7 linked regions of the Macaca fascicularis genome follow. The protein of the gene in region 6 interacts with the protein of the main gene of each other region in a biochemical or structural test. Links are inferred from orthologs where the notes say so. Each region holds a gene or a part of one and is shown on either strand. Other genes may lie near its edges. The genes, in order: MECP2, SMARCA4, SMARCA2, ZBTB16, MXD1, SIN3A and KLF16.

Region 1 (4,043 bases), on a different chromosome or scaffold from region 6:
CTTCTCATTTCATCTCCACATGGGAGGAATGTTCCAGAGGGGGTAACAGCCTATTAAACTCATCTAGCCAGTTTTTTTGTTTATTTTTTTTTCAAACTCCACAGCTTGCCTCCCTACTCCACTAGATGAGATTGCACAGAGGCAGGGCAGGCACGGGAAATGACTCTGGTTGGAAATTACAAACATATACACACAGAATGTAAGCACCATAACCCTTTGAATACACAGTGGTTTGTGCCTTGCCCCAGACCTACCTAAGTATTAAACAGCACAAAAGTCGGAGTTCTGCTGACTGTATGACACTCTCCTATCAATCGGGTAAAACAAAGACCCAGTACTCTAAGCTTAAAGCATTCCAGGTTAAATTTTAGTAACAGGCAATAGGAAGGTGTGATAGGCCAGTGCTAACAAGAAAGTCATAGATGGTTTCTTTGAGCTGTTAGGACACTGGAAAGGGCTGGTATGGAAGCCCTATGGAGCCATTAGGACAATGGAAAGGGGGGTACCCCTCCACCCGGCACTTTGAAGAGAAAACTATACTATGGAAGCTGCCTGCACTGTTGAAAGGGCTAGGTGTATGATAAACAGCTAACTGGAGGGGAACCCGAGGAGACAAACTGCCAACTATGAAGAACAAAGCAGAGACCTCAACTTGTCATGTCTCAAGCTCAGATGTACAAACTTTGGGATCGTCAAGTGAGGCTCCTGTGTCTGCCTGGGGATATGACTGTATTCCAGTGATCAGCCACCTAGCTGACCTGCCACGAATGGGTGACCTGTGGTGACTTATTTTAATCAATTGTACTACTTCTAGATTGATTGGGTGATTTAAGGTTCTGACATATTCACGTAAGAAAATAAAAGCAAGTGCTTCCTACACTTCCTGACTGGGATTTAAAATAGAAATCCTGAAAAGCCCATAAATAAGCCTATTTCCCTAAATCCTTGGTGGAAATTCCCAAAAGATTAAAAAATCCAGACCCTATCTTATTATAGGGACCCAGCAGATTTCAAAAGACTCAAGAGGTCAGCTTAATCTGGTTATTAACTGAAATTGCTGAGATACAGATGAACATTCCAGCCACGGAACCCAAAATTCTCTAGAGTAATAATTACCTATTAGTGCAACGTTACTACCGAGGCCGTATATGCTTTTTACAGTATAACAAAATGCCTAAAACTTATGAGAGTCCTACAACGTCTAAGTCACTCAGTATCACATCCAAGTAGGTATGGTTCCTGGATCACCAACCAACCCATGAATTCGATCCTGTTATCTCAGTTTGGGGTACTGATCCCGCACAGCAGAGACACAACGTGTGCAAGGCTCGGCAGAGCCCATTCCTGTTCCTGGAAAAATAACCAGAAGCACACATCTGTCTGACCATGAGTCAGGAATATCAATTTTGTGGTGGAGCCCATTTCTGCTGTGACCAACCCACACCCGAACACACTCACAACAGAAGTCACCGCCACAGAGCAATTCCAGAATGAGCTTTTTCCCCCTTGGGGTCCATACTTAGCAATGTCATAAACGGTCTCCCCTGCGAGAGCAATCCTTTTAAACTCTTCATAATGACCTTAAGTCTTTAGTGCAAAACCACAGAAACATTGCCACTGCCATATAAAAGTCATCTGAGTTTCAGTTTGGGTGATTCGGTCATAACCAAACTGAACAGAGAATAACCTTTCAGGCACAATGAACAGGAGCCACAGCGTCGCGATGAACTTGCTCCATCTGGTACCGGTGATCCCGAGCGCTCCAGGGCGATGAGAGCCCGTTACCTACTATGTCCCACTCCACTTATGTAACTGGAAGATCGCCGGCGAAGGGGAGGGTAAGATGGGAGGGTGCTCACATTCCGAGGCCACAGCACTCCAAAGAACCTCTGAGCACCCTGGGGACACGCTCGCACCTTAGAGCCTCAGGCGCCGAAGAGCCTCGGGTGCTGCTGGACGCACAGTCCCCTACTCACGGCTCCTGATGGGAACTATAACCACCTCTTTATGATGAGTTGTGGGACCCAGAACACAATGTCTAGTCCTTTTGTGGACAATAATCCCCACCTCCTTGTTCCTGCTAGATGGGGAAAGGAGCCGGTGGACCTACTCGCTCGCGTGGGGGTGGGGGGGCAGAAATTCATGGAATGGGCGAGAAGGAGGGGGAGGCAAAGCCCAGAGATGGGGGTGAGAGCTCAGGAGCCCTTGTGGCGCACTCTCCCGACGGGAGGCGAAGTGCGCACGCGCGCCGGTGGGGGGGGCCAAGTAACGGGAGAGGGGGCGCGCGAGGGAGGAGAGGGGAGAGCGCGATCCAGGGAGAGGCCGGGGCCGCGGGCGCGCGACGGCGCCGCGGCCCAAAGCCCCGAGCAGGGCAGGAGCGCGCGCAGCCCCGACAGGCGAAGCCCCGGCGACAGGGGCGCCCGCGGGGCCGGGGGCCGGGATGCGCGCCGAGGGCGGAAGGAAGAGGGGCGTCAGGCGAAGGCGGCTCCAGGGAGGCCGCGCCGAGGACGGTCACCCGCGAGCACGGGTGACGGGCCGAAGGGAGAGTCGCCACCGGCGGCGGCGGGAGGGGGAGGGTAGAGAGGAGGGACGCCATCCGCCAGCCGTGTCGTCCGACCCCGCGGGCCCCTCCCGCGCCACGTCCCGCCCCTGACCCCCGCCCCCCGGCAAGGGTCCCCGCCCGCGGCCACGGCGGTCCCACTCACAGTCTCTCCTCCTCGCCTCCTCCTCCTCCTCCGCTCGGCGCGGCGGCGGCGGCGGCGGCCATTTTCCGGACGGCTTTTACCACAGCCCTCTCTCCGAGAGGAGGGAGCGCGCGCGCCGCCGACGCCGGGACCCCGCACGGTCGACGTCGCGCCCCGCCCTCCCGGCCGGCCCGCGCGCTGCTGCACCTGCGCGCCCGCGCCCCGCCCCCGGCGCCGCTGCGAGCCCGCCCGCCATTGGCTGTGATGGCCGGGCTGGGGCGGGGGGGCGGTCACAGCGGCGATGCCGTCAATTGGCGAGATTTCTTGTCCATTTCGGCCAGGGAAAAGGAGGCGGTCCCCTCCAGCTGTTGATTGGCTGCTTTCGGCCGACGTTTGGGGAAAAGAGGCGGCTTGGGCGCGGAGGGGCTGGTTTAGTGGGCGGAATTTGAATGTTAAGGATTAATGGACCCTTGCGGATGCTGGGGCAAGTGAAGGCCCAGGCTCGGGACGCCTGTTTGCGCGGCCCTGAGGGGCGATTGACCCTCTGTCCACAGATGCACCGAGTGCGCTGCAATAAGCGTTTCACTGCACCCGCAGTTTCTCAATATCACCATTTTCAGCAGAAGCAGCAAAGTTACCCGCCCTGGAGCCTGACGTTGCCCCAGCTGAGGGGCCTTGGTTTCAGAGGCCTACTCAATGCATTATTTCATCTGAGCCTGCCCGGTGGTCACGTTCTCGTAGGGGTGGGGAATAAACTGACAACAAATCCCAACCCTGGCCTTCGCAGAACTCTGGCGGGGGAAGAGAGTGCATGCCAAGGCCTCGTGACACCTGTCATTGTTGGATCAGATGGTTTGGTGGAGGTGTGAATAAGGGGCAATGTTAGCTCTGCCTGAAAGATGTGATTTGGGAGCTGAGATCCAGCAATTGTTCACTTTCCTAGAAAAATGGATTTGGAGCTGAGATCCAGCAATTGTGTTTTGGGAAAATATGAGAAAAGTGTTAGCTAACCAGGTGTTCAGGACAGGAGTGTTTGTTAAGGGGACCTTACCCTGATGCCAGTCATTATCCAATCCATTCAGTGATCCTTCTGTTAGTTCTATGCTTAGCAAGAAAACCTGATTCTGATTTGGCTGCCTGCCCCCATTCATTTATTGACTACCTGCTATGTGCCAGGCACTCTTCCAGGCTCTGGATGCATGGTACTGAACAGACAGCATACTAAGATTCTTGCCGGGAAGATTCATACTAGCATACACATAAGTATAATGTATCATTTCACATAGTGACAGGGGCTTTGAGAAAGATAGAGTAAGAGTAAAGGGGGTGCTATTTAGGTATCTATGGGTTTTCATCCTC
Region 2 (4,165 bases), on a different chromosome or scaffold from region 6:
AAAAAAAAATCGAGTGTTCACTATGCATCAGGTGCTGCAGTGTGTTAGCGGCTTCCCATGTGACCTCATTCAACCCTCACAAGAAGCCTGTGAAGTTTCAGGCATCCTCGTCCTACCTGTTTCACAAGTGGGGGCCCTACTGCTAAGCGCCTCGTTTGAGGTTAAGCTAGGATTTCAAGAGCTGGGTGTGAATTCAGGAGGTCTGATTCCAGAATGGGTACTCCTTACCACCGCCCCACGCTAACCACCACCCCACACTTTGTAGGGGAGAGGAAGACAACTGAGGTTCGGGAAACAATGGCTTGGAAAGTTCCAAAACTGTTAAAATAACTAACCTGTATCCCTTACAACCCATGCCCAGTTCTGCACCAAGCTTTTTTTTCTCCTTTTTCTTTTTTTTTTTTTTTTTTTTTTTGAGACATTCTTACTCTAGTACCCAGGCTGGAATGCAGGGGCGCAAGAATGGTTCACTGCAGCCTCCACGTCTCTGGTTCAAGCAATCCTCCCACCTCAGCCTCCTGAGTAGCTAGGACCACTGGCACATGCCACCACACCCAGCTAATTTTTATATATTTTGTAGAGATGAGGTCTCACTATGTTGCCCAAGTTAGTCTCAAATTCCTGGGCTCGAGCAATTCCCCCACCTCAGCCTTCCAAATTGCTGGGATGTCAGGTGTGAGCCACTGCACCCCACCCTGCACCAAGCCTTTTACACAGATGGTCACGTGATCTTCCACAGGACCCCACCCCCCTCATTCAATCCACAGAATTTCTCTAAAGACCTACTATGTGTCAGGCCCAGAGTACTCTGGGGTCAGCCAGGCAGACACAACCCCAGCTCTCACGGTGCTGGGGGTGACAGCTACACCGGAAAGGACCAAGGTGATGCGTGAGTATAGCTGAGGGGAACAATGGCTAGTCCCAGGTGGCCAGGGAAAGTCAAAATACACTTCTGGCGCGGTGGCTCACACATGTAGTCCTAGCACTTTGGGAGGCCGAGGTGGGTGGATCACCTGAGGTCAGGAGTTTGAGACCAGCCTGGCCAACATGGTAAAACACCATATTTACTAAAAATACAAAAATTAGCCAGGCGTGGTGGCGGGCACCTGTAGTCCCAGCTACTCAGGAGGCTAAGGCAGGAGAATCGCTTGAACCCAGGAGGCAGAGGTTACAGTGAGCGGAGATCGGGACACTGAACTTCAGCCTGGGCGACAGGCAAGACTGTCTCAAAAACAAAATACAATCCTACATATATCCTCCCTGATTTTGAGGGCCCCTCTTTCAGGCAGCCCCCGTGATCTCTGGCTACCACCGATCCCCTGCCTGTCCGCTGTGTCCCTCTCACAGCGCAGGTCAAGAGCATTAAATGACAGGCCAAGAGTGTTTGTTCCCACGTTGACCACCCGATCCCCTCCAAGACTGCAGAGGTTCCAGGATCCAACCCCCCGACCATCCAACACTTAGTAGGACCTCAAGAAGTTATTTGCTGAACAATGAGGGAGACTGAACCAGACAGTAACAACAGTGCTTCCCACTTGCCAGGAACCATTTTACAGGCTTTTACCAACTGCATTTGGGAGATTACCCCCTTTCACAAAGGAGCTTTCACAAAGGAGGAAAACTAAGAGGTTCAGAGAGGTTAAGCACTTCCCTAAAGTGACAGTGTGCTAAGTGACTGACAGCACCAGGAATCAAGCTTAATGCACCCTATCAATCCAAACTGAAAACTTGTTTCAAATTCCTGCGAAGTGGCTTTTCCGCTTACTCCCTTTCTACTTTCCCCAAGGAGACATTGACCAAAAAAAAAAAAAAAAAAAAAAAATCAAGACTGGTGTCTTCAAGATCCGGACAAAACACTCGCCTAAAAGGTCCACGTTGAAAATAAAAGCCTTAATCTGAAAAACCAATTGGGAAGGAGGAAAAAGGATGCAAAAGAAAAGCAATGCTTTTACACAGCAAAGGATTTCCACCGTGCTCCCTTACTTGCCGCCGACCCCATCCCCAACCCCAATTCCGGGCAAACATTTTGAAGTCACTAACTGAAAGTCATTGGGGGAGTCCTTTACCTTTCCTTGAAAATCTGGAATGACGCGTTTTTAAGACAATTTGAAGTCGGCTAGCCCAAGGGGGCCGCTAATGCCCGTGTCCGGCCGACGCCGGACATATCTGGAGGTTTGGCTACTGAGCCCAGATCGTAGCTTCGCCAAAAAGGCAACATTCGGGTCGGACCCCTTAACACGCAGCCAGAAAAGCCCCAACGCCTGCCTATTGTTGGAGCCGCTGCAATTGGGAGGGCTACTGTAGGGGTGCCGGGCGAGGGGGGCGAGCTTTGTCCGGCGACCCCGGCGAGAGCGCGCGCAGAGAGGATCGCGCGGCCTCCACGCGGCCCGGGCCCCCCACCCACCCCGCCGCTCCGCGGGGACCGCCGCTGCCGCGGCCTCGCGACGCTGTGGCCTTCCCCACGAGCGCGGCTGCCGGCGGCGCTTCTTGACCCTCGGGCGCCGCCGTACCCCGGTCCCGCACAGGGCGCGCCGGCGGCCCCCTCCCCCCTCGGCGCCCCGGCTCCATTCAAACCGCCCTCCCTGGCCCCGCGCCGCGCTGCCCCCGCGGCCCGCGTTCCTTACCGGGAGCCGCCGGCGCCGTCGCCTTCCCGGCGCCGCCCCCGCCCCTCCGCGCGGGGCCGGGGGCAGAGTGGGCGTCTCGCTTCTCCTCACGAAACAAAGAAGCCGCCGCAGCCGCCAAGCGAGGGGAAGCCTCGCGCGCGCGCCCGACTGCCTCGGCCACCGCCCCCCCTTCACACACACGCGCGCCGCCCGCGCCCCCGCTACGCGCGCGCTCGCCGGCTCCCCTCCCCCTCAGCACCGCGGCGGCCTCTCCAGCTTCCGCCGCCTGCCCAGCCTTGTGCGCGCGCCAGCCCGCCCTTCCTCTCCCCCCGCGCGTGCGCGCCCGCTCCAGAGCTGACAGAGGTGGGCGTGGTCCGGAGGAAGCACGCGCGTCCCGTGCACCGCCCCACTCGGGCTGCGAGGCCTCGCGCCTGCGCACGGGCAGCTTCGCCCTCCGCACGCCGCGCGTCCTGACGCACGGGAGCATGCGCAGAGCGGGCGCCACTGCGGCGGCGACGGCGACGGCGGTGGCGGCGGGGCAATTGGGGGATGGGATCCCGGTGGCTGTGGGATCCATGGGGAAAGGAGGTTCCTGAGGCTCGGAAATAGGAACCCTGGACCGTAGGACCGGCCGCCTGGGCCAAGACCGGGCAGTGGTTTTCCGCGGACCAAGGGCGCGCTTGGGAACCGCTTTGATCCCTGATCTGGGGCGGCAAGGCCTGTTTGGGGAGCTAGGCGGGGCCCGACCGTGGCCGCCTTCTCTGCAAAACCTCCCGAGTGCCGTTAATTAGCTTAGCAAATATTTATTGATCTGCTACTGTATCTCAGCCACCGTGGATCCCACGGTCTAGTGGGGGAGGAGGACAAGAAGCAAGATTAATAAGCAAAAGAGCGCAGTGTGAGAGGCTGAACTTGGTGGCTCACGCCTGTAATCCAGCACTTTGGGAGACCGAGGCGGGCGGATCACCTGAGGTCAGGAGTTAGAGACCAGCCTGACCAACACGGTGAACCCCGTCTCTACTAAAAATACAAAAATTAGCCGGGCGCGGTAGGCCACGCCTGTAATCCCAGCACTTAGGGAGGCCTAGGCTGGTGGATCATGAGGTCAGGAGATCGAGACCATCCTGGCTAACATGGTGAAACCCGGTCTCTAGTAAAAATACAAAAAATTAGCCGGGCATGTTGGCAGGCGCCTGTAGTCCTAAACTACTCAGGAGGCTGAGGCAGGAGAATGACGTGAACCCGGGAGGCGGAGCTAGCAGTGAGCCGAGATTATAACATCGCATTCTAGCCTGGGCAACAGAGCAAGACTCCGTCTCAAAAAACAAAAAAAGAGGCCAGGCACGGTGACTCACACCTGTAATCCCAACACTTTGGGAGGCCAAGGCAGGCAAATCACAAGGTCAGGAGTTCAAGACCAGCCTGACAAATATGGTGAAACCCTGTCTCTACTAAAAATACAAAAATTAGCTGGCATGGTGGCAGGCGCCTATAATCCTGGCTACTCAGAAGGCTGAAGCAGGAGAATTGCTTAAACCCCAGAGGGCGAGGTTGCAGTGAGC
Region 3 (3,940 bases), on a different chromosome or scaffold from region 6:
AGAAAATCAAATTTTTAATTAAAATAGAATCAGAAAAAGTCATAGTTTAGAAGGATGCAAATAACAGGAAAAGAGGGAAAAAAGCAGATTGTCAATGACTCTTAAAGAGAGAAATGTGTGCTATGGCAAGTGGTATTTATTGGTAAAGACCAAAGTAATTTACAATTTTTTTAAAAAAAGATGTTCATATTTTGCTTATTAGTGCTGTGAAGAATCAGTACTACAAGTGGCATGATTAAACAAGGGATGCCTTTTTTTACCTGCTTCACAAAATTATTATAAGAATTAAATGTGGTAACATATATGAAAGCAATTTGCCGATTACAAAGTTCTCCATAAATGTATAGTATTGCCAGAGCAGCCATTCCTTAGAGACTATCAACTTTGGGTCACTAATTTCTATGTGGCTTCATGGGCTTTAATTCAATGAGTTTCAGGAAATAATAGGCCTTGATCAGCGCTGCAGAATTTGCCCCCACAAGAATACCAAATATACCGCCTGCAGAGTATTTTATTTGCTTTAAAGGCCAAAGATCTTTTTCTTATTTTAAAAAATGCATAAGATTTTCTGTTTCTGAAACAATAAGTGGTACTGACATCTCTCAAGACTGAAAGCACTATTGTCTCATTTTAAGAACCACCTTCTTATTAGGAGAGGATGTTGTTGGCAGGAATGAATAATTAGGTAACTCTTTGTGGGCACATTTTCTTCAAGTCCCAAGGGGAACGTACAATTGTAACATCTCCTTGGATTATTTCACAAACATATGGCAAATGAAGCACCTGAGCCAGATGTACAAGCATATTATAGTATGTCTGTTTTAACTTAAAACTGTGAAATACATCAGATGGTGAAGTTATTTTGGTTGTGAACATCCATCATGGAAACAGCATGGAAGCATCTTTTCTTTATTGTCCATTTTACTTGGACTGGAAATAATCAAGAACAAAACAGTTTGGAAATCATCATTTGCAGTACAAGATTCCAGGTAAAGTTCAAGACCTAATGAAGTACATGGTCTGGATTTAGCTGGGCCTCAGACATCCCCACATAGTTTGTTAATGCCTGTCACCAATATTCACTGCTGGCAGGCTTGGAGTCTCAGATTACCTATGATTATTTTCAGTTCTTTTTTACCCCATCATCTTGTGTTTTTACTCCCCTAGACATGCATGTGGGTTATTTTGTAGGTATTTTTTAAATAATGAGAATATATTTTCTACTGATTCAGTAGCGAGTTTTTGCTGTTTTTTTTTAACCGTATTTTATTATTACAACATTGGTTGCTTATTTTACTAAAGAATCATCATCTGGTATTGGCTTCTTGGAATCATAGTGATCTAAGCAGAAATATCCATCCCATTTGCTTTTGAAATATATTTCAAAATGAATGGTATACTTTTTAATCTGAATTACTCATGTTTCAGAATTAGAAGCTATAGGTGCCACAGAACCCTCAAGTGTACAGTAAGAAAATAAAGAATACACAGGCACGGGCAACTATATTCTCCCTTCAATGCATATGCGCAAATTCCATTAGCATTAATGAGTTCTCTGCACATGTACTTAAGAGAATGTGGACCAAGTCACAATGTAATCTATTTCTTTATCCAAGTTAAAAAAGTGATGGGGCGGCGGGGCTTGCGTTGTATTCCTGAGCTTTTCTTGAGAATTAGAATGATACAGGGCTGAGAGCATGCAAACAGTATGGTGGCAGCGACACCAGGGAAAAGGCACTTACTTTTTACAGCCAGTATGGCATACAGCAGAGATTTGGGGGTTGAATTACTATGGTTGGCAAATGTTGAAGCTGACAATAGAGGTCCACAGAGTCCTGGATATTCTGGCTTTGTGTTGCATCAAAATAAGGAAACAAAATATTTATGAACTTAATTCTGCCTCTCATTTTTTCCCCCCTTGAAATGGCAATTCTCTGCATGATGATGTGTATAGATGTGCAGTTCAGATGTGTTCCTAGCCAACACAGCATTTCATAATGCGGTGCACCTGTGTTTTCTTGGTCACCCTGTTGTCACCAGGGTGTGTTAAAGCACCCTCTCCAAAATAATTGAGTAGGAGGCAGGGCAGGAAGTGTCAGGGAAGGGGGCAGGATCTCTCCTCCGCCTTTATTTCTAACGTCTTCTCATTTGGAAAGATTGGAATGTAGATTTAATTTCAGGTGACAATGTCAGGTTTATCCCAGTTCAGAGATGTTGATAAATCCTGGTATGGGACTGCGGTGACCCTGTGTGCCCTCATACTCTACCTATCTCACAGGGATGTAGCTGTGTTTATAAAACTCACATCTAATATTGCAGAAGTGCTAAGGTCAGGGCATCTGAGCCACACGGTATCAGGCATACAACCACACAAAACTGTGCATCACGCAGAGGCCCCCTTTGTAAAGCTGCTAACCCAAGAACCTCTCTCCCGGATCAGTGGAGCCTCCAGTGTATGAATGACCCTTAACCTTAGCAAGCCCAGCACTCTGATGAGTCTGAGAAATGCACTTTTAGCATTGGGAGAAGCCACAAAAAGCTAAACAAAATGACTAGCAATGAAGGCAGACAACAAAACAAAGATACTGAATTTGTGCCCTTACCTTCATTTCCCCCCTGAAGATTTAAATTTCTGATGGTAAAAGCAATAATATTCTGACCTTAAAGGGCTGAGGTTCTGTGGCCACCGGTTGTTTAAAGGATCATTCCTCAGCGGCATTGTATCACCGGCCCTAGCAGCGGCGGCGGTGGCGACAACCACCACAAAAACTGGAGTTCAGTCATATTGGCATCAGATTCTGGAAAGGGGAGGGCAGGGAGAAAGGGAGTCTATTGGCCTAAAAAGCTGAAACATCTGCTGGAGTTATTAACAGCTTTTTGGCTGAGTTCAGCAGCAGGGCACCTTGTGGTTGATAGATTCTTCTCTCAGCAATTCAAAACAATGCAGTTAAAGCAAATTCCTCATTTTCAGAGCCCAGCTTAATGAGGCATACAGTATTTTAAAAATAGTCACACTTAAAATGGTCAATAGCAGTGACTGCAATCAGTGGTTACCTTCAGTACTCTATTGCGTTGTTAACTTTGCCAGGGTGATTGCATAACACGGATTTTTCAAAAGACCATGTAGCTCACTGTTAACTCACTTTGTAGGAATTTACATTATTTATGAAGTTTATGCAGATCATCCTAGGGTGTAAATACTGGCAAACTTGATCAAAACCACTTAGAGGCCTCCTGGCTATCCTTTCCCAAAAGTGTGCATTAAGCCACTTTAGGCTCAGAAGTCCAATTCCAGGAAAGGTTCCAAGGGGCCAAATTTTGGAGATAAAATGAAAGGCAACATGTGAACAGCCTGAGCTGGAAAAAACACTGAGTTGGAAGTCAGGGTCGAAGGTTCTAGCTCTAGTCCTAATACTAACTGGCTGTGTGAGTCCTTGCGGGAGTCACTCAATCTTTCTGCTTCAATTTCTTTCTGTATAAATTTATGGGGCCAATTAAAGGGTATGTCTCCAAATGTTTCTGTCCAGCTCTGCCATCTTAGGAACTATGGAGCTCAAATCCAATTTTAAAGTATTCCCCTTATGATAGCCATGAATTGCAACCACACTGAAGACTGTTCACCAATATGTGACAGTATGTGTGGTATTTGGGTAGGGGCATCAGACGAACAAACTGCAAAGTTAAATAGCTCTGTCAGTCACTTCAAGTGAATGCACCATATGCTGCAACAGACGTGGGCAAAGTACAACCAGCCCCAACTGGATTTGCTAGCCTGTTAGTTTATCTGGCCAGATGACAGTGTCCAGCCCCAAAAAGGGTCATGCGCAGCTTTGCATCCTACTGATCCAGCATGCTAACTTTGGCAGAAGGAAGGGAGTGGCAAGGGAGAGAGAAGGCAGACCAGTGGTGAGTCAACATCTGTGACAGAGCTGAAGTCAGC
Region 4 (3,500 bases), on a different chromosome or scaffold from region 6:
AGGAGAAAAATGTGCCACCATTTGAGTGAACAAAATACCCCACCCCATCCCAGAAAATCAGGCAAACCTCCAGCCGGGAGAGGAGGGTGGAGGCCCCCAGAGGAGGGGCAGTGGCTTGGCATCCAGGTCATCTGGAGCCCAGAGAGAATCCAAGGCCAAAAAGCTATCAGGTTTCCGTTTCCTTCTCTTTTTTTTTTTCTTTTCCTTTTTTATTTTTCATAGTCCTTCCTTCATCTCGATCCAACTCTTCTTTCTGGCTCCCCGCTCGGCTCCACCGCCGCGGGCCTCCCTTCACACGTAGCACAGGTAGAGGTACGTCTTCTCTATCCTCCAGTCGGGCGGGATCTCCTCGGGCTTGTGGCCCTTCATGTGCTTCTGCATGGAGGAGAGGCTGGGGCAGTACTCTGTGCAGATGGTGCACTGGTAGGGCGAGGCGCCGTTGTGCGTTCTCAGGTGCTTGATCATGGCCGAGTAGTCCCGGGAGCGCTGGTGGCACAGCTTACACTCAAAGGGCTTCTCACCTGAGGGCAGAGGGACAGGGCAGGAGAAAGTGAGGACAGACAGAGGGCGGTGAGGGCACCATGTCACCCTCAGGTGTGCCAGGGAAGCTGGGTTCCTCCTGCTGGGCTTGTTCCAACAGAACTTTCTGGGACAATGAAGGCACCACCCAAGACGGCAGCCACCAGTCACACATGGCTATGAACCAGGCTGGTGCGACTGGAGCTCTACAGTTTTCTGATTTTATTTCATTGTAACTAATTTAAATAGCTACATGTAGCTAGTTGACTACTGGATTGCCCAGTTCCTTGTCTTACTATTCTTAACTCTCCTAAGGCCACAGTCTTTTCCCTTTCTAATTAAGAAAATGAGTGTCTAGAAAGAGAAAGGCCCCACGGTCCTCAGGAATGGCTCTTCGAGCCGCAGTTCCATCCAGGGAGCAGGTGGATTGAGACCTTTCAGGGCTACAGATGGTGGGGAGCAGGGGTGGTGGAAAACTGAGGGAACCCAGTCCTTCAAATATGCCGCACCTGGGAACCTCTATCCAGCTAAAGCCTTTTTTTTTTTTGAGATGGTGTCTCACTGTGTTGCCCAGGCTGGAATGCAGTGGTACGATCTCAGCTCACTGCAACCTCTGCCTCCTGGGTTCAAGTGATTCTCCTGCCTCAGCCTCCCAAGTAGCTGGGATCACAGGTGCTGCCACCATGCCTGGCTAATTTTTGTATTTTTAGTAGAGACAGGGTTTCACCATGTTGGCTAGGCTGGGCTTGAACTCCTGACTTCAAGTGATCTGCCTGCCTCGGCCTCCCAAAGTCCTGGGATTATAGGCATGAGCCACCGCACCCGGCCTATCCTGCTAAAACTGCTAAGACTTTGCCCTGGACCCTGCCTCCCTCCTGAGGCTAGAATTGGGGGTGGGGTGGGATGGGAAGGATAAAGAACCTGGGAGTACACAGCCACACCCTAGCCTTCTATACCCCAACTTTCCTTCCATAGAGTCCCCTAGAGCTGAGCAGAGGATGTGAGGGAACCTTGTTTCAATACAGTAATTAACTGGCCAGCCATCTCGCTATCAATACTCCTCCGTGCACAGGCCCCAGCAAATAATGAAGTAATGAACAGCCAAAGTGATCTAACCATCGACCAGCTATTTACAATAGTCACTGCCAATACAGTTAATGATCCACCTGCCAGGTCACATCCCCGACAAGGGGCTAAGGAAACCCCAGGGCTCTGGGAAATCCTCTGGGTCACTATAGGTGTCAGCAATGGACACCCAACCCTGTCCTTGGGGGCTCAAACTGGGGCACGAAAACTGAGCTCTGACAACACGTAGCTCTGCTTACTGCTCCTTCTGTCCACCCTTCTCCTCCAAAGGCAATGTACTCTCCTCTAAGCCAGCAGGACCTGCCTGAAGCCACCTCTCCCCCTTCCTCTGGACAGGACAGCTGTCCCCCCGATCAGAGGGGTTTCTTTGTTTTCCATGTGCCACCACCTCTTACCCTTCTGTAAATCAGCCTTCCCCACAACCAGCAATGTGCTGGTGGTAAATGTTTAACAACTGGCTTTCTAAAAAGCCCTGGTTTGTAGCATCTGCTGATTGCTATGATGTGAATACTCCTACCAGGGCCAATTTTAAGCAACTAAGGTGATGTCGCTGAACTTGAAGTTGTGAAGAAATGTGAAAAATTAGCTTTCACAAGCAAGCTCCAATACTCCACTGCCCCCAACCTCGGACACTGTGGAAGACCCTTCACTTCTTTTGTCTTCTGACCTCAGGAAAAGCAGTGGCCCACATTTCTTTTTCCAATACAAACAATAATGTGGCCGGGCACGGTGGCTCATGCCTGTAATCCCAGCACTTTGGAGGCCGAGACGGGTGAATCACTTGAGGTCAGGAGTTTGAGACCAGACTGACCAACATGGCAAACCCGTCTCTGCTAAAAAAAAAATACAAAATTAGCCGGGCATGGTGGCACACGCCTGTAATCCCAGGTAATCGGGAGGCTGAGGCAGGAGAATTGCTTGAACCCAGGAGGCAGAGATTGCAGTGAGCTGAGATCATGCCACTGCACTCCAGCCTGGGCAACAAGAGCGAAACTCTGTCTAAAAAAAAAAAAATGTGAAGGCACTCTGAAATGGTAAAACATCATATGCATATAGGGATTATTAAATATATCTGCTCTTCTAATCTCAGAACCAAACACAATCTAACTTTACAATTTCCCAACTTCCATAATAACCTGATTCAATGCATCCTAATTCTTACTGTAACCCTTGAGTAACATGAAATTACCCCTAACCTTCGCTTCCAGCTAACTGGACCAACTTACCCCTAATTTAGGACTCATATACAGACATCATTTTGCATGTCACCTCTGAACTATTGGTATAGCTGCCTGGAGAGCTGGTGGGGGCTCATTGGAAAGTGTGCTGGGATTGATTAGTAATGTCTGCCTTGGCCTTGACTGGTGGCCCTCAGGCCACCTTGACTGGGGTGTGGTGGCCCTCAGGTCATCATACCAGCCCTTAATAGAACCTCTTCTACTCTTTGATTCAGCCTGGGATCATCCTCACTTAGGCTTCTCCAGGAGACCATCTGCTTCCCACCTCCACCCAGGTCCCAGAGCCAGCTCAGACCCCTCCCTGGCCTTCAGTACCTGTGTGCACCCTATAGTGCGTCTCCAGCTGATGCTTGAGGCTGAACTTCTTGCCACAGCCATTGCACTCATAGGGTTTCTCACCCGTGTGGATGCGTTTGTGGCTCTTGAGTGTGCTCTCATCCCGGAAGCAGCTGCCACAGAACTCACACTCGTAGGGGTGGTCGCCTGTGGAGACAAGCAGCTGGATCAGGCATTTGCCTCTCCCTGCCCCCTCCTCAGGGGCCAGTAGGGCACATTCAGTGCATGAGAAGGATGAGACGGCCTGTATTCACCACCTCCAAAGACAACTTAGGGATCCACGGCCACACCTCCATTGAATAAACAAGCAATACCTGTGTT
Region 5 (4,083 bases), on a different chromosome or scaffold from region 6:
AATACAAAAATAAGCTGGGCGTGGTGGTGGGCACCAGTAATCCCAGCTACTCAGGAGATTGAGGCAGGAGAATCGCTTGAACCGGGCGGGAGAAGGAGGTTGCCGTGAGCCGAGATTGCGCCATTGCACTCCAGCCTGGCCGACAAGAGCAAAACTCCCTTTCAAAACAAAAAAAACAAAAAACCCCCAATAATCTTGTGAGTGCCTTCATCTAGAATTAAAAGGGAGGGGAAAACCCTAAAAGAGATTTAAGTCAAAGAATCTTAGAGTTTAATGCCATTCTGTAGGTTCACAAAGTCTCAGCTTTAAAAACCCACTCGCGTGAAAGGAATTAATTATTCCATCATTTCCCGGGGATGGAGGGGGTGCGGAAAAGGCGCATGAGCTCAATGCTGTATATTGGAGCCCGATTCCAGCTCTTTCTTGAGGGCAGAAAAAACGCCAGGCGGCAAGCATTTAACAACCGCCAGGCTTTTCTTCTCAAGCCCCGCAGCAGCCACGTGGCGCCTGCCCGAGCTCCCGGCTCACCGGCCACTATCCTACACCGCTCTCCGGGATGATTCGCGGCTGGGCCCTCGCCAGCCGGAGTTCCGCGAAGCCCAGAACCTCCAGGGCCGCGGCCACCAGACCCAGGGCTCCGGCCCCGAACCCAAGCGGCGCAGAGCGCCCAGGCGACGCGAGGTGCCAGCCTTCCATTCGAGGGACGCCTGGCAGGTCCCCGGAAGTTTTCCCCGGGGACAGGTCTTGGCAACAGGTCCGAGGCGAGACCGGGTGGAGCCGAGCTCCGCGGCTGCCGGTGAATCAGCGCCGCCCAGCGCCGGACCGGCCCTCCCAGCCAATGCCACACCTGGTGAGGAGCAGGCAGGCCGCTGACCATCAGCCACTTAGGGCTCGCCTGAACTGGAGAAAGGTGACATCATCGTAGCTGGGAGGTTTCCGAAGGCTTCACCAATGGGAGACCGGCGAGGTGCTTGCCTGCTACAGCTCTTGGCCAATACTAACAAAGCAAAAGGGGGCCCGGGTTGTTGGTATAGAACCAATGGGAAACAAGGAAGGAGCACGAGGCGGAGTTGCGAATCCTGTCACCAATTGGAAAGAGGGGGTGGAGCCCGGGCCTTGTCAAGCGTGACCAACCAGCGAGAGGAGCGGACTTTGGGGGGTGGAGCCGTGAAGCCCTCTCCCAATCGCACAAGTTTGGGGGCGGGGCATTCTTTGGGGGGCCCAATGAGGAACGCGGCCGAAGCTGGCCTGTCAAGAGAAGGGGCTGGGGGCGGGGAGATGGTGAGTCGGGGATAAACACTCCGCGGCGGTGGCGGCTGCTGCTCTGCTCCGGGTTCTGTCACGGTGTCGGCGGTGCCCAGCTCACTGGCCCCCCTCCCTCTCTTGTCGAGCGTGGTTGCCAGAGAGGCTCCCTCAGCCCTGCTCCGCGGTGTCCACAGCGGGCTCCATAGCGGTCCGGCGGCGGCAGCGAGCCCGTGGGCAGTGGGGGTTGGTCCCGTGGCTCCGGCCCCCGGTGCAGAATGGCGGCGGCGGTTCGGATGAACATCCAGATGCTGCTGGAGGCGGCCGACTATCTGGAGCGGCGAGAGAGAGGTGCACGGGGACGGGAAGGGGTCCACTCGAACCGAGGCCGGGGGTCCTGTAGGGCCGGCCTCAGGTCCGGGCGCCCAGCCGCTCCGGGGGTGGTTGGAGGCGGGGAGACCGCGAGCGCTCCCAACCCCTCCGGCTCTCCCCACGCGCGGTCCGAAGGGAGGCCGCCGCTGCCCTAGAGCAATGAATCAGATGGAGAAGGGGCTTTCGCCCGCCGGGGTCCCGAACGCCGCCCCTTCCGCAGTCCCTCCCGAATGGGTGGCCGGGGCCCCCTCCGATAGCCTCCCTGGTTTACCTCACCCGGGCTGGTCCCGGCCGGCCCCCAGGTGGGTCCAGCGCCCCAGTCTCCTGGGCAGAGGAGCAGCGCCTCACGGTGCTTGCCCCGCACCTTCGCCTGAGGCTGGTTCCACTTAACCCGCACCAACCTGCTGGACGTTGCCAGTGGGAAACCCAGGCTGCGTGAGCTTAGCCACTACTGTGTCTTTCTCAACAATGAGCAGCTGGAATCCTCTTTACACCTGCTCCGAACTGAGGGTATTCACACAATGTTGTTTTTTTTTTTTTTTTTTTTTAATCATTGTTCTCAGAATTCCACCTTACTCCATTTAATTATTTCCACAATATTCTTTTAAAGATAAATAAAGGAAAAAGGAAATACTGTAGAGAGGAGAGAGTATTAAATATTCTGGGCCCATTCATTAACTGGATCCTCCTGTTTTCTAGAAGCTGAACATGGTTATGCCTCCATGTTACCATACAATAACAAGGACAGAGATGCCTTAAAACGGAGGAACAAATCCAAAAAGAATAACAGCAGTAGCAGGTAATTTGGTAAATACTTCTTTCTGTCTTTTAGATTATATTGTAGGTGACACAAACTGCTGAATGTAAGTTGCCTGTTGTGATTATAACCCTATAAAATTACATTGTGGCCGTCATGATTCAGTAATGTACACATGGACTTAAGACCTTGTAGGAAGCTGTTTCTGTTTGGGTTGAGGGAACTGAAAAGAAAAATAGAAATGTTTTACATTTTTTATGAACTTTATTCAAAATTTAATTTCGCTTTTCTTCCCTTTTGGAACAAAAAAATCTGTGAAAGCTTCAAGTGAGATTAGCAATGGTGACAATATTTTCCCTTCAGAAGTTGCAGATCAGGGCAAGTTTTCTATAAGTCAAAATGCTGGACATTATCCATTTCTTTTACTTTTCGTTGTAATGATTTTATAAACACATTAAAGTACCTGATTTGGCATAAGTGGTAGGATCTCATACTTGACATGTAAATTAAATACAGTGGTTTGTTTGATACTCTAATTTGTCACCTCTATTTGTAATGGCAAAGAGGAATGATTGAGGTTAAAACCTACCTCTTTAGTGATAGAGGAATATATAATACCGAAATATTAATATGCTACAACCTTTCCATGTTAGTCTTATAGATTGTCTTATACCATAGTTCTTAAAAGCTGTGAATCTCACTGGAGATTTGGTTAATGGTCAGTTAAATCACATATTAAAGTCCTGTGCATAGTTTCTGGTACATGTAAATAGTCCATCAATGTTACTGCCCTTTTTCTCCCTTCTTTGCCCTTAAAATGTAGTTGGCTAGGAAATTCGTTTTATTAGATCCCTTCAACTATACCTTTCCTGCCAGTAAATTAAAAGCATTGATTTTTTCATCACTGGTTTAGAATCCTCATCCCTCCCTCACCCTCATGAATAACTCCTTGCAAGTATCTATTTGATATTCTCTGTGGCTTAATACAGACCAGGAATTTCCCACTTAAACCTAAAAATCACTTGTTCTTGCTGCGTCTTCTGTACTTGGTTCACCTCATTAGTATCGTTGGTGGAACCACAGGATGTGAGCAGCATTACTTGTGCCATGCCCTTGAATAAAAATGGCACATGAAGAATCAACCTGGTAATTACTTGGTGGGTTTTGCTTGTCCTCTAATCTTAGCATTACCTGAAGGTGGTAGCCTGTAGTTTTGTGCATGGATATGAAGGCACTTTAAGAAGGTTGTTAATACTGACTTGTAATATGCAATGGTATAAAAACAATTCAGCTGTGTTGCATTTTAATACAGTATTTTTTTTAATTTGTTTAAAAGAATTTTGAGGCCTTTCAGTTAATTTTTCTGGAAAAACATAGTCCATTTTGGCTTTTATTATTGTCCACTAATGATTTGAGAGGAATTGTCCATGTTACTTATTTAGGCTTAATACCTTAACACCTTATTTTTTTCCTTAGTTTCACAGGAAGGTTGTAGGGGATGTTCACTAGTGGGGATAAAAAAATGAGATGTTGAAGTGGTTTGGTCCCAAAAGGTGATTAGGAAAGAAAAATAATAGTAGTTAAGAATCTTAAGCCAAGAAATGGATTCTTTCTAGTAGAAAGAATCAGTACTATGCCAAAAAAAAAAAAAAAAAAAGGGCTACAAATTCTTCTGTTAATGGGTTGGTTTGCTTTCCATGGTTAGAGACAGG
Region 6 (3,500 bases):
ATGGGACTATATGATACAAGGTATTGTTTGAGGGAAACAGGCAGTGGGAGAAGTGGAAAATGGAGGCAGGAGGTATAAGTTGAAACCAGGATAGTAAACTAGGGAACTAGTCAAATAGCTTAGGTATAAAGGTAAAGTTTAGATTTAAAATAGTAGAATGAGGAATAGAAAAGGCTATGACAGCTATAAAGCAGGAATCAACAGGTCTTAGAGAGTCTCACCTGCATTTAACAAAGGTAATTTCCAGAAATCAAAGCTGTGCTAAACATAGACTAGAGTCCACTCACAGATGTAGAAAACCCCAGCTCACCTCATCATAGATACTCTCAATCTCATTGAGTAAGCTCTTAGACCTCAGGACCTTTGTGTCATTCTGTTTAAAGTTGATCCCCTGGTGGTCCAGAGACTTCAAGTAGTATTTCTCATTTTGTTCTCGCCATACTTTGTTAAAGCCTCGCTGAGCTTCTCGCCATTCTTCCTCTTTCATCTTCAACCTAGTGAAGTGGGAAGGGATGGAAACAACATATGGGAATTCAGAGGGTTTAGAAGAAAGAAATTTGCCAGGTTTACTTTCTTTCAAGAAAAGTCAAAGCTATATTAGGTCTGTCAAAATTATTGGCAACTTGGGATGTTATCAAACCAGTCTTGAACTCTGTTTCATGAGGAAATTACTTATCTAAGACTTATTTTGGGGAAATGAGTTATCTCAAAGTCAAATAATTTACCTAGAATGGTTACTTATCAAACAGCATTCCAGGGAATACCTTTGAGATGTAAGTATTCCTTGCAAAAAGAGTTCTTGTTTCTCTGCTGTAGGACTTTGTAAAATGTTCACAATGCTAATAGAAACACAGAAGTCCAAGAGCAGAGAACTTGCACAGTTATGTTCCTCTGGATACAGTCTGGAAAGTTCTGATCAGAACTGATTCTAATAAACCAGAAGAGAACAGGCTAAGACAAAAAAACAGCACTAAAACTGAAGAATAACCTATATTTCAAAAGCCAGAAGTTAAATACTACAGGCAAGAAGAAGAAACCATCAATCTGTGCCAGCTCTTGAGGGGAAGATGAGGGAGGACAAATAAAATCTGGGTATTTGTGAACTGTGCAGCAACTAAGAATTAGTTTTTACCAGATGATACTGAGAGAACCAAGCTCCTAACAAAGGATTTACAGTGTGGTCAATAATGACATGGGGCTGGGCATGGTGTGGCTGGTGCCTGTAATGCTAGCACTTTGAGGAGGCCAAGGCAGGAGGACTGCTTGAGCCCAGGAGTTAGAGGCCAGCCTGGGAAACATAGCAAGACCTTATCTCTATTAAAAAAAAATAAAATAAAAATTAGCTGGGTGTGGTGGTGTACTCCTGTAGTCCCAGCTATTCAGGAGGCTGAGGTGGGAGGATCACCTGAGCCTGGGAAGTTGCGGCTGCAGTAAGCTGTGTTCTTACTACTGCACTCCAGCCTGGGTGAAAGAGAGAGATCTTGTCTCAAACAAACAAACAAACAAAAAAACCACAAAGATGTTAACAACAGTTAGTCCTGAGCGTGGCAGGAACATGGGTGGTAATTATCTTCTTTTCTGTATTTTAAAATACTCCCCCAGGGTTGGGGAGAAAGAGAGGTCTCATGGGACAACCAGGTTGAAAATGAGAGACTTATTTAATGGGACACTGAACCAGTAATGAAGTACACACTAAAGCACTAAGGGCACATTTGCTCAGGTACCTTTTAAGGACAATCGGAACAGCAATGGAGGGATTCTTTCTCAGACCATCAATGATGTCAGCTGCTTTATCAGCATATATCCTCTGGAGTGCTTTTCTATGGATGACTTCTGATGTGCCCCCAAGGGTGTTGTCCAAGCGAAATTTGGCTTGTTCCTCAGCAGACAAGCGGGAAAGCTTCTTCTGTATTGCTTCCAGAACCCGGATTGTTGCCAGATTGGTCTCTAAAACTACATCAAGCTGAAGAGGAAGACAAAGAAGGGTATGCTCAGGACCCAAATCAGAATAGAATAGAGTAGTGATTAGAAAAATAAGGTAGGGAGTCAAACTCCTTGGATTTGAATCCTGGTTCTGCCCTACTAGCTACATAAGACTGTTTCTTTATCAGCAAAATAGGGATAACAGCACCTATTACTCTCACAAGCCTATTTCTGGATTAAATTATACAATCCACATAAAGTATTCAGCGCAATACCTGGCACATAAGAACCACAGGATGAAGCTGGATAAACGGTAGTTATCACCACCACCACCTGCACCATGTGCTTTGCTTAAGACTACTGATCTTAGACCGGAGGAACCTAACAAGAGATGACTTTACTGATACTTTTCCCTGAACTTTCCTGAATTGCTAAGATCCGTTATGAACAAACAATAACAATCAAAACAATACCAAAAGACGGCTCTGTCTTGAGAGTTTTTTTTTTAACTTGAAATATTTAAATATATTCAAATACTAAAATACTCAATAGCCTTGTTCCACATCCAGTAATAATAAGAGCAGTGACTATCATACCCTAAGGAGTTCACTGTTGTATCTGCGGGTAATGATTTAAATTCTTATTGGACTCCTAAATGAACAGTCTACAACCAAATGTTTGCAGAAGTGTTCCCTAAATTTTCTTGTTTTGGAAATGTGGTCATCATTTTGTCAATACTTCTGGCCCCTCTTGCTCTCCAATTACCGACAAAAAATGGACTAACTTCCTGACTCCCTTATGATTGGATAGGGTCATGTAACTAGTTCTGACAAATGAGTTGTTATGAGTTGAGAAGAAGTAATGTTTATCACTTCTAGGCTGGAGCATTTAAAGGTGTGAGATCCTTCTGAGATCTCTTTTCCTCCTAGTGACTAGCAACAATCATAATGGTGGCAATCCCTTGGCCTGAATCCCCAAGTGATTCTGATATGCCAAATCCCCTGCTAAACATCAATGTACATGTAGAATGATTAGAAATTAAACCCATTGGCTTTACAAGTCACTCAGATGTGGGAGCTGTCTGTACTGAAGCATTACTAACCTATCTTAATTGGTAAACATGTTCCTTCAAACTCGCTCATCCCACCAAATCTTAAACACATGCTTACCCCACTTCTTTCATCTTTGCCCTTGTAGTCATAAATGGGAAATGAAGTTGCCTCTCATTTGGAAGCATACCAGTTGAGAGGGGATAGGAACATTCTGTCAAAAACAGATGCCAAGCTCTGCTAACTCATCAGCTAACCTTACTAAACATAAGTAACAAAGAAATGCTTGCTTTTTTTTTTTTGAGACAGATCTCGCTCTGTAGCCCAGGCTGGAGTGCAGTGGCGCAATCTTGGCTCACTGCAAGCTCCGCCTCCCGGGTTCACGCCATTCTCCTGCCTCAGCCTCCTGAGTAGCTGGGACTATAGGCACCCGCCACCGCGCCCGGCTAATTTTTTGTATTTTTAGTAGAGACGGGGTTTCACTGTGGTCTCAATCTCCTGACCTCGTGATCCGCCCGCCTCGGCCTC
Region 7 (4,041 bases), on a different chromosome or scaffold from region 6:
ATAAAACCAGAGCCCCTTCCACGAAAAGAAGCTGTTTGCACAGACCCTTTGGTGGCCCTGGGGGCTGGGGAGGCCTGGAAGAGGAGCCTGGAAAACCACAAGTATCCAAAACCCTTTGGAAACCTAATCCAAGGTGCCTGGGCCTGGGACTGCCTTCTCAGTCCCCAAATCGTTACTGTGAAGGGGGCTTTGGAATGGGATGTCAGCAGGCTCCCAAGGGGTGGGGGAGGGTGCCAGGAGATCCACCCTGCCCTCCCCCACCGCACAGGGTAGACGGTGGCGAATCATCAGCACATCTGCACCCCCAGGCCTCAGTTTATCACCGCAATCCCAGGATAACAATCCTGCCTTCCCAGGACTCCGAACCCATCCTTCCCCTCCCTGCTGGCTTAGGGACCGCCGCCCCCACTACCCAGGGGCCTGTGGAAGCGCCTCCTGGGTGCCACTGTGGGAGGTGGCCATCCCATCCACTTCACCCAGAAACTCAGAAAACCCAAATGAAGCTCTCAGGCCACGCCATCTGGCATAGGAAGAATGACCTGGGTAGACAAGTGGGAGTCGCTTTCTCAACAGGCTCCCACTTCAGTCCCTTGTCTGTTCAGATCGGCAAACTCACCCCGGACAAGCCAGGGCATTCCTGGACCCCTGCCCACCGCCCAGAGAGGCACCTCCCTTTCTGTTCCCAACGCTGCCTCGCCATCTTCACAGTCCCCCAGTGTCCCTCCCCGCGGAGATACACGAACCCTATTGCCCTCAAAAAGAGGTAACACCTTGGGACCCCTCCGCCGAGGGGTCCTCGCAGAAAACGCAGACCCCACCCAAGTCCTATCTTGACGCCCTTGGTTCCCGTCTGTGTCTCAAGGTGGGCAGAGCCTCCAGGCCCCTGGGACCAGGACAGGGACTGAGCAAGGGGTGGAAAGCGTGGAGAAAAGACAGGGGGGCAGCCTGCGGGCTACAAACCACCGCCCCCACCCGCCCTCCTGCTCTCCAGCCTCAGGCGTCCCAGCGCGGCTCCCCACGCCCCAAGGATGAACCCTCAATTCTTCCACAAGGCATTCGCGGCCCCTGCTCACCTCAGCCTCACCACTCTGGACAACCTGCTTCCCTTCGGCCGCTCCACGTGTCCCTACAATCCCAGCCCACGGACCAAGCCCCCTTGGAGTATCCCGCTGCCCAAAACGGCCCCCGCTACGGCTATGAAATAAGAGACAGCATCGCACTCTTGATAGAGATGAGAAAATTGAGACCCAGATCGGGTAGAGGTCCTCTGTTTGGTGGCAAGGCCAGAATGCCAAGCCCAAGTGCGGCCCGACAGGCTTCCCCCAGCCCCCCACCCTCCCCAGTAAGGGACAAGCACCTCTAATGCCCAAAACCAGGCCGGCCATCAAGGCCCACCGTCCCCTGTTCCCCAGTCCAAACTCCCAGTCCAGAAGGTGGAATCCAAGGAGGAGTCAGAGTGAAAAAATACGGCCAGGCCCACTCGGCTCCCGGTTCCCCTCGCCGCCCCAGGGACTGCGCTAGGAGGGGCGTTGGTGTATCCGGAGCGCTCCCCGCTCCAACCCTGCGCACCTTCCCGAATCGCCTGCCAGATAGGGGTGAACAAACACGCCGGGGAAATACACGTAGTGTGGACCTTCCTATAATGTCCCCCCGCCCGAGACTCAGGCCCCAACCGGCGCTCCCAGCTGCGCCCTCCCCCTCGTTAAAATACAGAGAACGCAGAGAAAACGTGCCGGGCTCCCCCCCATCCTGGCCCCACGCCAGGTGCTCTGCCGACCTCTAGGGAGAATCCGCGCGGCCACCCCGGAGGCGGCGACGCGGTTCCTCCTCCATTTTCATAGATAAGGAAACTGAGGCTGGGGGAGGGGGAGGACCCAGAACCCCAGAGCCGGATGCCCCAACCACAATGCCCACCGCCCAGACCATAACGCAAAAGAAAAAAAACAAAAAACGGAACAAGGCCCAGAGAGAGAGAGGTGGCCTGCCCAGGAGTCTCACTCCCGCCCGCGGACCTCGCTGGGTCCCCGGAGCCCCAGCCACTGCAGCCGGGGCGGCCATCCGCTCGCCGCCCGACCGCGTGGCCGCCACGCCCCCCGCGCGCGCCCCACCCACCGAGGCCCCGCCCTGCCGGCCGGCGCGGCGGCGGCCCGGGCGCGCCCCCCTCCCCGCCCCCCACGCGCCACGCAGTTTCGGGGTCCTGGCGGGGGAGGGGGCTCAGGCGTTCGCCCCCGCGCGGCCCGGGATCGCAGCTCCGCTCACCTGTGTGCGTCCGCAGGTGCGACTTTAGGTGCGAGGACTTGTAGTAGGCTTTGGCGCAGTCCGGGAAGGGACAGCGGTGGCTCTTGGCGGCGGCGGAGGGCGCGGCGCCGGGGGCGCGGCCCGAGGACGGGGACGAGGCGGCTGAGGAGGAGGAGGCGGGCGAGGCGCCCCCCGGGGCGGCTCCGGGCCCGCCGCGCAGGTCGGCCAGGATGCTGGCGGCCAGCAGGTGGGGCGCCGCGGCGGCGCCAGGGCCCGGGCCAGGGGCGGCGGGAGGCGGCGGGGGCGGCCCCGGGGTCCCGGGCGAGGCGGCCTCGCGGCGCGCCGCGCGCACATCCAGGCCAGCGGCGGGGCCCGCGCCCTCGGGGCCGGGCCGCCCGCGGTGCACCACGGCGCCCGAGGAGATGGCCATGAGCACGTCGGCGGCGAAGTAATCCACACACGCCACGGCCGCCGACATGCCGGGCAAGGGCGCGCGGCGCGGCGGGCGGAGCGGAGGCGGCGGGAGCGGCGCCCGTCCGGCCGGCGGCGGCTGCTCAAGTGCGGGAGGCGGAGGCGGAGGAGGAGGAGGAGGCCCGGCGCGCGCCGCCGCCGCCGCCCGCGCTCGGCCTGCCCCGCCCCGCCTGACGCGCCCTGACGCACCGGAGCCCGCGGGGGCGGCCACAGCCCGCCCCGCCCGGAGGACGCCCCCTCGGGGCGCCGCAGCCACGCCCCCCGCCCGGCGCGCCCTCCACCACTCCGAGCGCGGTCGCCGGGGGCGGGGCTCGGGCCGGAGGAACCCGCCCCCCGGCGCGCCCACTCAGGCCTCCGGGAGCGCCCAGCGTCTTAGGCCCGGAGCGCGCACTCCCCGCACTGGGGTGCAAGGCCGGGGAGCCCCGCCCCCTCCCGGCGCGCCCCACTCCAGCGCGCGCCCCCGGTGCCCTCTCCCGGAGCACCACCCCCCAAGCCGGGGCGGGAGGCCGAGGACCCCGCCCCGTCTCCAGCACGCCCCTCCCTCCCAGAGCGCGCCCCGCCCCATCCCGGCACGCCCCTCCCTCCCAGAGTACGCCCCGCCTCCTCGCTGGCGCGCCCAACCCACGCCGGGGCGCGCGGCCGGCGGGAGCCCGCCCCCTCCCCGGATGCCTCCCCCCTGGCCTCGGGCGCGCCCCCGTTCGCGATGGAGGAGGGCTCGATTCCCACGTGGCCGGGGTTGGGGGGGGTGCGGAAGCGGCCGGCCCCGCCCCTAGGCCACGTGCGCGACCCTTCCCCCCTCTTATCCTGGCCTGGGGCCCTGCTTTGACCCCGCACCCAGGCATCTGCTCGTCCTCTTCTCTAGGGTTCCCCGTCGCAGCTCACAGAGCCCCTAGGAGCCTCCCGGCCGAGGCACCCGGTATCCCGCGCCCGCGGCGGGGCCCGGGAGGGTGGGGCAAGCCTGCGTTCGTTCCTCTTTTTGCACCCAGTTCCGGAGCTACTGGAGCGCGCCCCACTGGGGGTGGGGAGAGCCGGTTGGGTCCCAGAGGGTCGGGATAGGGGGACAGGAAGAGGTGGCCGAATGCAAAGAAAGGGCTAAGCTGGGGACGCCTGAGCGGATCAGAGGTTCCCCGCCCTGCTGGGACACCGGGATCCGAGGCTTCTCTTTCCAGTCCCAGGCATCGATCCTTGGGGTTTGGACGGGAAAAGTGAGGCCAGGTATTGGGGCCTCCCGGACGCAAGGACGTCCAGACCAAGTTGTTAAATATTGGCGGGGACGACGGGGACGCCAGGGACGCGGATGGCCCAGTTCGCAGGCCCAAGGCGGCGGGGGCA

The links.
Region 1: the proteins of SIN3A (region 6) and MECP2 form a complex in vitro, tested with the Homo sapiens proteins (2 studies listed by BioGRID). The link is inferred for Macaca fascicularis from reciprocal best matches to the Homo sapiens genes SIN3A and MECP2.
Region 2: the proteins of SIN3A (region 6) and SMARCA4 form a complex in vitro, tested with the Homo sapiens proteins (2 studies listed by BioGRID). The link is inferred for Macaca fascicularis from reciprocal best matches to the Homo sapiens genes SIN3A and SMARCA4.
Region 3: the proteins of SIN3A (region 6) and SMARCA2 form a complex in vitro, tested with the Homo sapiens proteins (2 studies listed by BioGRID). The link is inferred for Macaca fascicularis from reciprocal best matches to the Homo sapiens genes SIN3A and SMARCA2.
Region 4: the proteins of SIN3A (region 6) and ZBTB16 form a complex in vitro, tested with the Homo sapiens proteins (3 studies listed by BioGRID). The link is inferred for Macaca fascicularis from reciprocal best matches to the Homo sapiens genes SIN3A and ZBTB16.
Region 5: the proteins of SIN3A (region 6) and MXD1 form a complex in vitro, tested with the Homo sapiens proteins (4 studies listed by BioGRID, with this or other methods). The link is inferred for Macaca fascicularis from reciprocal best matches to the Homo sapiens genes SIN3A and MXD1.
Region 7: the proteins of SIN3A (region 6) and KLF16 form a complex in vitro, tested with the Homo sapiens proteins (2 studies listed by BioGRID). The link is inferred for Macaca fascicularis from reciprocal best matches to the Homo sapiens genes SIN3A and KLF16.

The regions. Positions count from the first base shown.
Region 1 is NC_088395.1:160,165,549-160,169,591, forward strand, and holds the start of MECP2 (methyl-CpG-binding protein 2), read right to left. Parts: upstream 2,801-4,043; 5' UTR 2,768-2,800; coding exon 2,706-2,767; intron 1-2,705. UniProt on the Homo sapiens protein: Chromosomal protein that binds to methylated DNA. It can bind specifically to a single methyl-CpG pair. It is not influenced by sequences flanking the methyl-CpGs.
Region 2 is NC_088393.1:11,528,665-11,532,829, reverse strand, and holds the start of SMARCA4 (transcription activator BRG1), read right to left. Parts: upstream 2,801-4,165; 5' UTR 2,625-2,800; intron 1-2,624. UniProt on the Homo sapiens protein: ATPase involved in transcriptional activation and repression of select genes by chromatin remodeling (alteration of DNA-nucleosome topology).
Region 3 is NC_088389.1:97,177,729-97,181,668, forward strand, and holds the start of SMARCA2 (probable global transcription activator SNF2L2), read right to left. Parts: upstream 2,801-3,940; 5' UTR 2,661-2,800; intron 1-2,660. UniProt on the Homo sapiens protein: ATPase involved in transcriptional activation and repression of select genes by chromatin remodeling (alteration of DNA-nucleosome topology).
Region 4 is NC_088388.1:113,178,040-113,181,539, reverse strand, and holds part of ZBTB16 (zinc finger and BTB domain-containing protein 16), read right to left. Parts: intron 3,327-3,500; coding exon 3,159-3,326; intron 522-3,158; coding exon 292-521; 3' UTR 1-291. UniProt on the Homo sapiens protein: Acts as a transcriptional repressor. Transcriptional repression may be mediated through recruitment of histone deacetylases to target promoters. May play a role in myeloid maturation and in the development and/or maintenance of other differentiated tissues.
Region 5 is NC_088387.1:52,028,699-52,032,781, reverse strand, and holds the start of MXD1 (max dimerization protein 1), read left to right. Parts: upstream 1-1,283; 5' UTR 1,284-1,520; coding exon 1,521-1,593; intron 1,594-2,313; coding exon 2,314-2,413; intron 2,414-4,083. UniProt on the Homo sapiens protein: Component of a transcriptional repressor complex together with MAX. In complex with MAX binds to the core DNA sequence 5'-CAC[GA]TG-3'. Antagonizes MYC transcriptional activity by competing with MYC for MAX binding.
Region 6 is NC_088381.1:52,618,009-52,621,508, forward strand, and holds part of SIN3A (paired amphipathic helix protein Sin3a), read right to left. Parts: intron 1,964-3,500; coding exon 1,725-1,963; intron 495-1,724; coding exon 311-494; intron 1-310. UniProt on the Homo sapiens protein: Acts as a transcriptional repressor. Corepressor for REST. Interacts with MXI1 to repress MYC responsive genes and antagonize MYC oncogenic activities. Also interacts with MXD1-MAX heterodimers to repress transcription by tethering SIN3A to DNA.
Region 7 is NC_088393.1:2,485,594-2,489,634, forward strand, and holds the start of KLF16 (Krueppel-like factor 16), read right to left. Parts: upstream 2,801-4,041; 5' UTR 2,717-2,800; coding exon 2,260-2,716; intron 1-2,259. UniProt on the Homo sapiens protein: Transcription factor that binds GC and GT boxes and displaces Sp1 and Sp3 from these sequences. Modulates dopaminergic transmission in the brain.